Linked DNA regions of Lonchura striata. The protein of the gene in region 2 purifies or fractionates together with the protein of the main gene of each other region. This does not show direct contact. Links are inferred from orthologs where the notes say so. Each region holds a gene or a part of one and is shown on either strand. Other genes may lie near its edges. The genes, in order: VANGL2, PTPN3 and VANGL1.

Region 1 (3,743 bases), on a different chromosome or scaffold from region 2:
TGAGCCCCTTCCGGCGCTTCCCAGCCCTTTTCTCATGGAAAAATCATCCCGAATTTCCCACCCTGGCACAGCTCGAGGCTGTTCCCTCTTGTCTGGACCCCGTTCCCTGGAATCAGATCCCAAATCCCCCTGATCCCACTTTTCTCTGGGATCACCCCCCAGGTCCCTCAGGATCCTCCGTTCCCTTTTCCAGCGGCTCCAGCCCCGTTCCCATCCATGGAATTTCCCACTTCCCTTCCCAGCCCCTTTTTCCATGAGGATCCAAACCTGGAAAACCGAATTCCAGAGCTGGAATCCCAAATTCCCAGCAAAAAAATTCCTGGGGATTCTGGAATTCCCACCGCACATCTCTAAATTCCCCCATCCCAAATTCCTGGGGAGCGCTCAGGATTCCCTGGAGAAATCCCAAATCCAAGCTCTCCGTCCCTTCCAACAATCCCAAGGACGCCCCAAAGCCGCTTCCAGGTGGCTCCACAGGATTTGGGAAGGACGATCCCAGAAATCCACGTCCTCGCTCGGAATTCCGATGTTTTCTCCAGGAGAAACCCCAAAACCCCAATTCCTGCCCCGAAAGGACACCCGGCTCGCCCAGGACTGGGGCTGTGGATCCGTGAGAACTCTTCTCCAGCAGCTGCCGATCCTTTGGGATGCTCCCAATCCAATATCCACGTCCAGGATCCCGGAGAAGCGGCCGGGACGGGATCCGGGCGGGATCGAGGAACGCTGCCGATGTTTTCATCCAGTCCCGGGATCCGCAGGGAACTCCTTGGATTTGGGGCGGTGCTGGCCGGAATTCCGAGCCGGGAATTCCCAAATCCCTTCCCAGGATCTTCTTCCCGAGCATCCCGGGCCGGACAATAAATCCACAAAAGCTCCGCTTGGAAAAACGATCCCAAATCCCGAATGAAGCCGGATCCCTCGGGCCCCATTGTCTGCCGGCAGCCGGGGAAAACAAGGAACTTCCCATGGGATCATTCCCAAGGCTGGGATGTCCCCGGCCCCTCTGGAATTCCGGGCGGGGGACACGGGGTGACCTCACCCCGGAGCGGCCGCCCCCAGGTCCCCCTCTCCGGCCGCCGCCTGTTAATTGTTGATTGTTCATTAATTAAATCATCCCAGCTTCACAAAGCCCCTGGAAAATCCTCGGGATCCCGTCTGACTCCCAGCCCCATCCTCGGATTTCTGGGATGGAGAAAATCTTCTTTTCCAGGAGATCCGAATTATTCCCAAATCTCCTTTTTTGTGTGTGTGCGTGTGTTTTGATTTCTTTTTGTTGTTCTGTTGCGTTTTCACCTCCGCCCGCGGCGGGGGAAAAGGATCCCAAAGGAAAAAAATCATCCCAGGCCGGGCTCCTCCCGGGAACTCCCGGCGGCTCCGCCAGGAACCGGCTCGGGATCCAGGAACCGGCTCGGGATCCAGGAACCGGCTCGGGATCCAGGAACCGGCTCGGGATCCAGGAACCGGCTCGGGATCCAGGAACCGGCTCGGGATCCAGGAACCGGCTCGGGATCCGGCCCGGGCTGTCCCGGAGCCGGGGGCACCGGGCGCGCCCGGCCCACGGACCCCCGGGCACCGGGCAGGGCCGGGGGGCACCGGGAGAGAGGGGGACACGGGACACGGGGGACATGGGACACGGGACACGGGGACACGGGACACGGGGCACGGGGGGGACACGGGACACGGGGACACGGGACACGGGACACGGGGACACGGGACACGGGGCACGGGGGGGACACGGGACACGGGGACACGGGACACGGGACACGGGGACACGGGACACGGGACACGGGGACACGGGGACAGCGGGGACACGGGGGACATGGGGGGACACGGGGAGAGAGGGGGACACGGGACACGGGACACGGGGAGAGAGGGGGACACGGGGACAGCGGGGACACGGGGAGAGAGGGGGACACGGGACACGGGACACGGGACACGGGGGACACGGGGACACGGGGGACACCCCGCCCCAGGGACCCCCGGGACGGCCCCGCCGCGCCCGGACACCGGCGAGGGGATGGGGACAGCGGGGACAGCGCGGGGGACACCGGGGACACCCTGAGGGTGACGGGGGGGACACAGTGGGGACACCGGGGACACCCTGATGGGGACGGGAACACCGGGGACACCGCGGAGACACCCCAGGGACATCCCGAGGGTGCCGGGGACACCGGGGAACACCCCGGACACATCCCGAGGGTGCCGGGGACACCGGGGAACACCCCGGACACATCCCGAGGGTGCCGGGGACACCGGGGAACACCCCGGACACATCCCGAGGGTGCCGGGGACACCGGGGAACACCCCGGGCACACCCCGAGGGTGCCGGGGACACCGGGGGACACCCTGGGGACATCCCGAGGGTGCCGGGGACACCGGGGGACACCCCGGGGACATCCCGAGGGTGCCGGGGACACCGGGGGACACCCCGCAGGTGCCCCGGGATGGGCTCAAAGCGCTCCGAGGCCGCCGCCGCCGCCGCCGGGGGGGATTCGGGGGTCCCGGGGGTCGCATCGCGCCCCGAGGAGGCTCCGGCGGAGCCCCGCAGCCCCTCGGGGTCCCGGGGAGGTGCCGGGGGGGGGTCCCGGGGGTCCCACCGCCCCCTCCCCAGCCGGGACCCCCGGCCCAGCGCCGGGCTCGGGGCTCCCGCAGCCGCCGCCGGCCCGGGCAGAGCGGCGGTGCCGGGGCCCTTCCCGCAGGGAGCGCGCCCGGCGCGGCCCCGGCGCGGCCCCGGGGCCGGTTCGGCATCCCGGGATCGCCCCGGCAGCGGCCCCAGCCCCCCGGTGCCCCCGCACTCACCATCGCCGCCGCACCTTTGTGCGCGTCCCCCCCGCACCGAAACCCCGGCGGCGGCGGCGGCGGCGGCGGCGGCGGAGGAGGAGGAGGAGGAGGAGGAGGAGGAGGAGGAGGAGGAGGAGGAAGAGGAGGAGGAGGCGGAGGAAAGCCCGGCTCCCCCGGACCCCCCCGAGCCCGGCCCCGGCCCCGCCGCTCCCGCCCATTGTCTGCGCTGCGCGCTCCCGGCGCCGCCGCGGGGCCATTGTTTGGGGCGGGGGGACACCCGGGGACCCCCGAACCCCGCGGACCCCCCCCCCGACAGCCAGAGACCCCCCCCCAGCCGGGGGGATTCGGGGTGAGGATGCGCTTTTTTGGGGGAGGGGGCGCTTTTTGAGGAGAGCCCCCCCATTTTTGGGCGCACGGGGCGTTTTTTGGGGAAGAATCCCCCGGTTTTTTTGGGGTTTTTTTGGGGGGGGGGCAGTGAGGGTTGAGCCCCACCTCGTGTCCCCCCCCCCGGCCCCGCATGGGCTCCCAAAAGGTCTCGGGACCACAAAGGGTTCTCAGCCCCCCAAAATTGCCCCCAGGGGGTCTCAGCCCCCCAAAATTGCCCCCAGGGGGTCTCAGCCCAGGGGGGCGGGGCACAGCCCAGCTGCTCCCACCTTGTTTTGGGGTGTGGGGAAGGATTCTGGACCCCATAAACCCCCCCGAAATAAGATGGGGTCCGGGTCCTGCACCCGGCCGGGTTTGGGGTGTCCTGGGGGGGGGGTCTGGCCGAACCCCCCGGGTTTGGGGTCACCCCCAGCCCCAGCGGTTCCGGGGTGCGTGGGAGCGGCTGGAAGACCCCAGCCCCATCCCTGCGCAAATGGGGGGGACCCCCGGCCCGCAGGAGAGCCAGGGCGGTGGGAGGGAGTTTTTGGGGGGCGCTGAGGGCCAGCAGCACCCCTCGAGCCAGAAGAGGTCTCTGGGGA
Region 2 (3,743 bases):
GTTGCCCCTGACAGAAATCAATTCTCAAGTTCATAGTCATGAAGCTTAGAGAATGTGTTTCTCAGTCAAACAAACAAACAAAGAAAAAGAAACCCAACAATTAAAATCAAACCCACACCACAAGGCTTCTATAAAACTAACAATTAACATTTATCACATTTAGAACAAAGAGATTGGTAACTGTGGTCCTCATCGCCACTTAACTACACTTTACTTTTAACTGGTTGAGTTTTAATGAACAAATACCCCTATGCATAGATGCCAGCATGGCAAATATTATTTGTGAATGAAGTGACAAAACAGAAGAACTGCTCACTGTACCGGTATTTAGTCCACCTTGGAGAATTTTAACATTAATGACTTCTGTGCATAAGACTTTCGGTGTTATACCTATGTAAGATTACTCCTTCAGTGCCTATGTAAAGCTATCATTTACCCATCAGTGTAAAAAGTAGGTCAAGCTTAGAAAACTATGCACAACTGTCTCTGCTATAATACTGACTACTAAAAAAACAGTCCACCCAAGATCTTTAGAAATCAGCTGATATTTTAGACTCCTGGATTGGATGAAAACATGCTTTATTACATGGTAACTCATGAACATAGAAGATAATCAAGATAATCTTCATCTTCAAGAAGAAAATTATACTACCGCTAGCTTTTTTATTACTACTTTTCTGTTGCTTCTGCTTTAAGTATATTACACCAATAATACAAAATGATGAATTAAGAAGCAGTTATGGAGCTTTGCAATTTAATAGCATATCACTTAATAGTTTTATCAGCATCTTAATTTGTACTGAAAATATTTTGAAAGCATGAAGGTGGAGAGTTAAGTATTGCAAAGTACAGCATGTAACTGTGATATTACTTAAATTTATGTCTTAAAATAATGAACTGTCCCCATCTTAGAATACGTAAAAAGTTGATGTGGAAGGATTAGAAATGCTTATTAAGTCAGAGAGAGAGATGACAAGTGTTAAAGAATTCTTCCAAGAATCCACTGCCAGCAATATTAGGGTGCTTAATGAAACAAAATTGATCTTATCATCACAAGTTGGTCCTTCAAATGAGGGCTGTTCTATTAAGTGTACTTAGAATTATGTGGAGTATTACATTTTTTCTTATGAACTAGAGAACAAAAATGTATTAAGTATTTGTCACCAACCTATCAAGACATTTTTGCCACAGGACAATACCAGAGAATATCACCATCATAAAAATTTAGCATTTGTGTTGCACTGGCAAGCAAGCCTTTTTAGATAAGTAACTGAGGTGACTGAGGAGACTCTTCTTCCCCACAGTTCTGTTTGTTGACTGTTTCCCTTATGATCAAACCCACTCAGGTAATAGGGACAACTTGCTTCTTGTACAACTAGTTTCAGAAAAATTTTGTTTCTAAACAAGTGAGAGTGCAGCTGCCCTCCAAAGCTGAGTAAGTATTCCACACATCTACATTCATTATTTTATAAATAATCCTTCAATGCAATGCTCTGCAAAATTAATACTTCAGTAATATATGTATTTCTACTAGAAAGACAGTTTGTGACTAACAGAGTAGCAGTACCAATATTCAATAGCATTAAAGAACTAACTTGTTCTGCTTTCTGTTACATAGGTATTAGAGCAGTAGCAATTTGTGATAGGCTGAAGAGCACCACAAGGGAAGCGATCATCCTAGCAGGGAGGACAAAAAAATCCCAACTGTATCTTTGAAAGAGAGGAAAGCAAGGAGCAACAGAAGGAGAGACTGGCTAATTACTTTGGATAAGTTCATTCAAGAGAGGAAACAAGAAGTGCTGCAAGATGAATGAGAATTCTATATTAAAAGAAGTATCCAATTTTACTGCTGTTTCATCTGTTCCGTAACACCAATGAGGCAAATAGTCGTCACACTTGACATACATGGATATATTATATATTTCTTAGATATATTGGATATTTTTGTATCTCCACAGGGCAAGTCAGCACCCAAAACGCTGAAAAGTAACCGCTGTGGAGCACCGGCAGCCTTTGTGGTGGGGCAGCTGCTGCTAACTAGTCGTGGTACTGTATCTCCGGGCTTTGGGATTCTTATCCCCCGGCAGACCCGTCCGGTCGGGGGCACGGGCAGGGCTGCTCTGCGCCCGCAGCGCTCGTCTCTCTCCTAAACACGCCCGAGGCACTCGGGGCTCGAGAATACTCTGAAAACGGGTGCTCCGCCAACGATGTGGGGGAAAAAAGCCGGGAATAGAGAAGAAGCCAAACTCGCCCTATATTAACAGGCAGCAAAGGCGAGCGGGGGGAAAGCCCGGGGACGGGACGGGACGCTCCCCGTGCCCTCCTCCGGTGGCCGGTGCTAGACACACAAGGCGCGGAGCGGAACAGAAAACGGAGGGACGCGCGGAGCGGAGCAGCGCCGCCCCCCGAGGGCACGGCTCGGCTCGGCACGGCTCGGTCGGGGGGGAGCTGACACCCAGCCCGGCACGGCCGCGCACCTTCCCGCTCGCTTTCCCCTGCGCCAGCCGCCGGGAGCAGCGCTCGCCCCCGCTCTCCCGCGGGGCCGGCGGACAGCCAAGCACCGGCGCGGGGCCAGCCGCCCGGCCGGGCACTCACCGCCCCGCCGAGGTGCAGGAGGAGGAGGAGGAGGAGAAAGAGGAGGAGGCGCGGGGGCGGCCCCGGCGGCACCGCCGCCCCCGCCTCCCGGAGGCGCCCCGGCGGCGCCAACTTTCCCCGCGCCCCGCGCCGCTCCCGCCGCCTCGCCCGGTACCTGCCGCGCCGCCCCGCGCCGCCGCCGCCACCCCGCTGCCCCAGGGGGCGCAGAAGGCCGTCACGGCCGTCGCGGCCGCCGCCACCGTGCGGACCGAGGAGAGCAGGTGCGGAGCGGGCACCGCGGAGCCGCTCCCGCCGCCGGCTCCGGCTCCGGCTCCTGGGCTGGGCGGGCAGGGCGGGGCGGGGCGGGGCGCCGAGGAGCGCCCGCCGCCCGCGCCCGCCCCCTAGCGGAGGGAGCGAGCGGCCGGGCCCGGCCCAGCTCCCGGCCCGCCCCGCCGCTGCCCAAGCCCGGCTCCGCTGGAAGCCCTTCGGCGCTTTCCGCCCTTCCGCAGGGGGAACGGGAGCGGGGTCACCGCGGATGGCGGGGCTGGAGCTGTTCCCTCGCCTCCTTCCCTCGCCCCGCGGCAGCCCTGGCGGGGACTGCCCCGCCGTCACCTGTTCCGCACGGCCGTGGCGGCCGCGGTCCCGCCCGGGTCCCTCCCTGCCCGCAGCTCCTCCCGGCTGTGCCCGCTGGCAGCGCGGCACAAGCAGCTCTGGGGGCCGGCTCCAGAGGCTGACACCAGCTGGGCACACCGCCGGCTGGCGGACCCTGCCAGGCGACGAGGAACCGCGTGTCCCTCGTGCCATCGCCTGGGGCAGAGCGGGGCCGGCACAGGAGGTGCGAAGTGTCGCCACAGCCCGCAGCGGGTGGCACAGCCCGCCCGATCGCCTCTCCCCGCCGGAGGAGAGCAGGTCTGGCCGCCGGCGGGGCGCGGCGAGCGGGCCAAGGTGTGGGGATGCGTGTGGAGCCTCCTGCTTCCCTCGCGTCCCCGCTCCCCGCCGGGCTCTGCGCTGCACCGCCGTGCCCGAGGCATCGGCTCAGGCTCTGCGAGCGAAGTAACTGTGTCAGGGCAACTCTACACCCATGCTAATTAGCTGAGCCTTTCTGCAGCGCTAATTAACTGAAGCAGAGGACTTCAATGGCCGAGCAATCCCGTGGCATGTTTTCTCTG
Region 3 (3,743 bases), on a different chromosome or scaffold from region 2:
CTATGGTGGAGGCTCTTGATTTGCAAGCCACTCATTCTAAAAAAACCCATTTAGTAGTCAGCAAATACAAGCTCTCTAGCAATAGGTTCTCTTTTGCTTCTCAGAAGGTCCTCAGAAAGATTTCACAGATCCCCTGGAATTTCCAGCCCAAAAACTGAAAACCATTAGTCCACAACATGGATATTTCAGAAAAAAAACCTACTTGTGTTTATTGAAGCAATTCACTGTTTAATCAGAACATGCAACAGCAACTGACAAGAGAAATACCCAGGCAAAACCACCACTCAAGTGAGCAGAGCTTCCAAGCAGTAACCCCCAGCCTCTTGTCCCTGTTGCACAGCTGGAAGCTCTCTCTGTGAAGCACTTCCCTGGAGGGATGTCCTTTGCCCACTCCAAGAGCCACACCTGTGCTGTCCAAGTTTCTGAAGCACAATGAGCACTTGAGACTATCATGCAAACTACACCTCAGTGCCATGCTCTCAGACTAGTGAAAGCTTGTCCTTCCTCACTCATGGGTCTGTTCTGTGCTGTAAGACCTTCCAGTGCTCCTCTTAACTCCAGAGCCATGCAACATGACATAAGGCATGTCCTCAACCTCAGGACACCAGAGCACCTGGGACTGTGCACAGGAATACAGTTTTCCATATTGACATTAAAACAAAACAAATGGGGAAAAGTGTCTCACAAGATGCCACTGACTGCCTATCCCAGCAGGCAGCACCTGTACCTCATTTTCAATATTTGCTTTTAGCCATAGCACTTAGATACTGAGTTAGCATTAAAAGGTATGAACTGCAAAAGGTTTCTCTACTGAAAGAGCACCCCCGCCTTTAGGACACTTCATATCTGCCAGCATTTTCCATTTAAATTTAGAACAAAAAAGAAGTCTACAGACCCTGAGAAAATCCCCAGGACACAGCACAGTGGGACTCTACAGAATGGAGTCTCTCTATATCACCCTCATGCTCAAATCTTTACAAGTTCAATGCCATTCTGGCCTTGCAAGGAGAGAGGGCAAAGGTGTTGACCCCTGAGAAAATAGCCATTGATTTTTAATTTGACCCAAGTCAGGAAATTCTGACATACAGGCTAATGAGAAATTAAAAGAAGTACTAAAGTAGTTTTTACACGGGTTCATTTTCTTCTTCCAAGCGAACAGTACCAGACCGTACCGTGGAGAAACATGAGCTTACTGTTTCCCACCAGCAGAACTGGACATCACAGCTCCCCACTCAGGTCTGCTCCTCAGGTCCCCACACAGCAGCACAAACCCTGCAGCAGCAAAGTCACGTTTCTGATACCATCCTTTGCTTTGGTTGCAAGAGGTGAGGGGGTAAGGAAGGCAAGCTACAACAACACAACATGCAGTTCTGCTAGTACAATAACTGCAGTCATTCGGTGGTGTTGCCCTAGTACTGCATCCCAGTCTCACAATGACAGGAAGCCCTCTCCAGATGCGCATATCCATGAGACAGCAGCCATCAGGAACAACTGCCACTACTAACCAAAACCAAAAGGTCAGAAGCAACCACTGTGAGCTGCTGGTGAGTGGCTGGGAGCAGTTAGATATTTGCCTGACTGGTTCCAGTACAGCCAGGGATTATTCCAGAATTCGAGCTACAGGGAGCATTTTTAAAAGAGGCTTTCTACAAGACACCATTCATATTTATTTTTCAAAATTAACAACTCTGTGTTGTGATCACAGAGCCAACATTAGCCTCAAAGCTGTGGCCAGCTAAATAGCCAAACCCCAGTGGGGGAAAAGAGCCAAGCATGGTCAAAACGAAGCTTTTCAAAGGTAGCAAAGCACTGCTGAAGCACCTTCTCCACAACTCTCCTCCTCGAAGTCAGGCTGAGCTCACAGGCAATGATATCACAGAACATACTTCGTAACATCCTAATTTGCACTTCCAGCCAGCGTGACTCCACTTCTTAACTCTTTATAGCCGCACAGATCTTGTGGGCAGTTCATTACTGACAAATCCAGGGTCAAAAAAGTCCCACTGCTCTAAACAGTCACAGAATCGCCCACCTGCCTCCTCAGATCGAAAACGCTGCCATCAAGTCACTCATGCTTTCACTGATTGCAATTCAAAGAGTTCAACCCTCGGCATGAGAGTTAGTTAACCACCCTGACAACCTTCTGAATCAAAAACCCAACCCCCCCGCGCTATTTCGCAGCGGCTCTCCTTCCCGTCACTTCTGCTCCCCGTCCCGTGCTGCCCAGCGGGATGAGCCCAAACACAGAGCAGTCTGTTTTACACGGCGTGGGCAGCAAGGCACCACCAGCAGAGCGCTCACACCAGCGCGGAGCCTCTCGCACCAACAGCGCACGGGCTCCTTGCAAGGCGAGGCTCGGCAGCAGAGCGCTGCTCGCCGTGCGGGGCTGCGCCCGCGGCCCTGCCGGCACCGAGCGTGCCGGCACCGGGATGCCGAGATCGTAGACCCGCAGCCCCAGCAGCCTCACGGCGGGCAGGAGGGAGGCCCCCGCCCAGGCACAGGAACCAGCGCGCAGCCCGGAAAGCGCCGGGCAGGGCGGCGGGACGCGGCGGGCTCGCACCGCCCGGCCGGGCACGGCAGCCGGAGGCTGCCACCCTGCCGCTCCCGCCGCCCCGGCACCGGGGTCCCGGCGGCGGGAGGGCGTGGCGGGGCAGCGGCATCGCCCCCCGCACGGACAGACGGGCAGACGGACGGACTCACCTCCCTCCCGCGGCCGTCCCATGCTGCCGCCGGCACCCACCCGACCTCCGCCGCCGCGCCGCTCCCCGCCACCTTCCCCGGCGGCGGCCGCCGTCGCTGCTGCCGCTTTCCGCTTCCTGTGCCCGGCACCGCCCCGCACCCGTCCCTCCCCCGCCGGAGCCACCGCCCACGGGCGAGGCTCGCCGGCCCGGGAGGCCGCTGCCGTCGCTGCGACTCCGGCGCCTAAATGCCCCCGGAGCCGGGGTTGCGGCGCACCTGGGGGGTGTGCGGCGGGACCCGCCACTCAGCCCCCCAGGCGTGATTTGACGCTTGGACCTCTCCCCGTAGTTCAGCCTCCTCTGCACCTCGGGCGTACACACGCTCCTTCACATCTCCTGCCGCTTTCTCCATCGCCGCCCGCCTTGCTCCAGCCCATGAGCCCCGCACCTCTTCCAAGGCTCCGCAGCTCTCCTCCACCCAGCCATGCTCCTCGTCTGTCCCGTGCCGTCACCTTCTCCTCCAAGAGAAAGATACTCAGTCCCTTGGAGCTATCCCATCCCAGGTTACGGTGGCCTTGGGTTTCCTCCGAGGCTAAGTGTATTGCCAGGCACTCTAATGCCTGGCTTTTGGGACGGCTTGGTCTGCTCCTCCACCCAAAGGCTGCAGCCGCAGCGCCCTTTGCCCCTGGTCACAAGAGGACTGCCATGAGGAAGCACCTCCTGCCGCCCAGGGAGAAGGGCCTTGTTTGCCTGAAGTTTGCCTTGGGCACCAAATTCCTGGCACCACTTGCTCTGGGCAGGTGGGAAAGAAACAGGAGAGTCCCATGTAAGCACAGGCCAGTTTTTCTACATGTAAATGTTGCTCCTATTTCATTTCACCTTTGGTTTGTCTTACCCTTTAAAAATATTTATGTTTTCGGGACATACAATGGGCTAGCAACTTGGAATGTATGAAGAAAATCTAGACCTCCCAGATTCCAGTCCTGCACTTTCAACTGCTCAGGAATGACCCTGTCCACAAATGGAACAAATGAAGAAGCTGAAGTTATTCCTATTAGATAGTGT

The links.
Region 1: the proteins of PTPN3 (region 2) and VANGL2 purify together in Homo sapiens (affinity purification with mass spectrometry; 3 studies listed by BioGRID and IntAct, with this or other methods). This does not show direct contact. The link is inferred for Lonchura striata from reciprocal best matches to the Homo sapiens genes PTPN3 and VANGL2.
Region 3: the proteins of PTPN3 (region 2) and VANGL1 purify together in Homo sapiens (affinity purification with mass spectrometry; 4 studies listed by BioGRID and IntAct, with this or other methods). This does not show direct contact. The link is inferred for Lonchura striata from reciprocal best matches to the Homo sapiens genes PTPN3 and VANGL1.

What each region holds. Positions count from the first base shown.
Region 1 is NC_134635.1:3,628,989-3,632,731, reverse strand, and holds the start of VANGL2 (vang-like protein 2), read right to left. Parts: upstream 2,891-3,743; 5' UTR 2,800-2,890; intron 1-2,799. UniProt on the Homo sapiens protein: Involved in the control of early morphogenesis and patterning of both axial midline structures and the development of neural plate. Plays a role in the regulation of planar cell polarity, particularly in the orientation of stereociliary bundles in the cochlea.
Region 2 is NC_134603.1:65,421,904-65,425,646, reverse strand, and holds the start of PTPN3 (tyrosine-protein phosphatase non-receptor type 3), read right to left. Parts: upstream 2,831-3,743; 5' UTR 2,750-2,830; intron 1-2,749.
Region 3 is NC_134604.1:26,912,134-26,915,876, reverse strand, and holds the start of VANGL1 (vang-like protein 1), read right to left. Parts: upstream 2,812-3,743; 5' UTR 2,701-2,811; intron 1-2,700.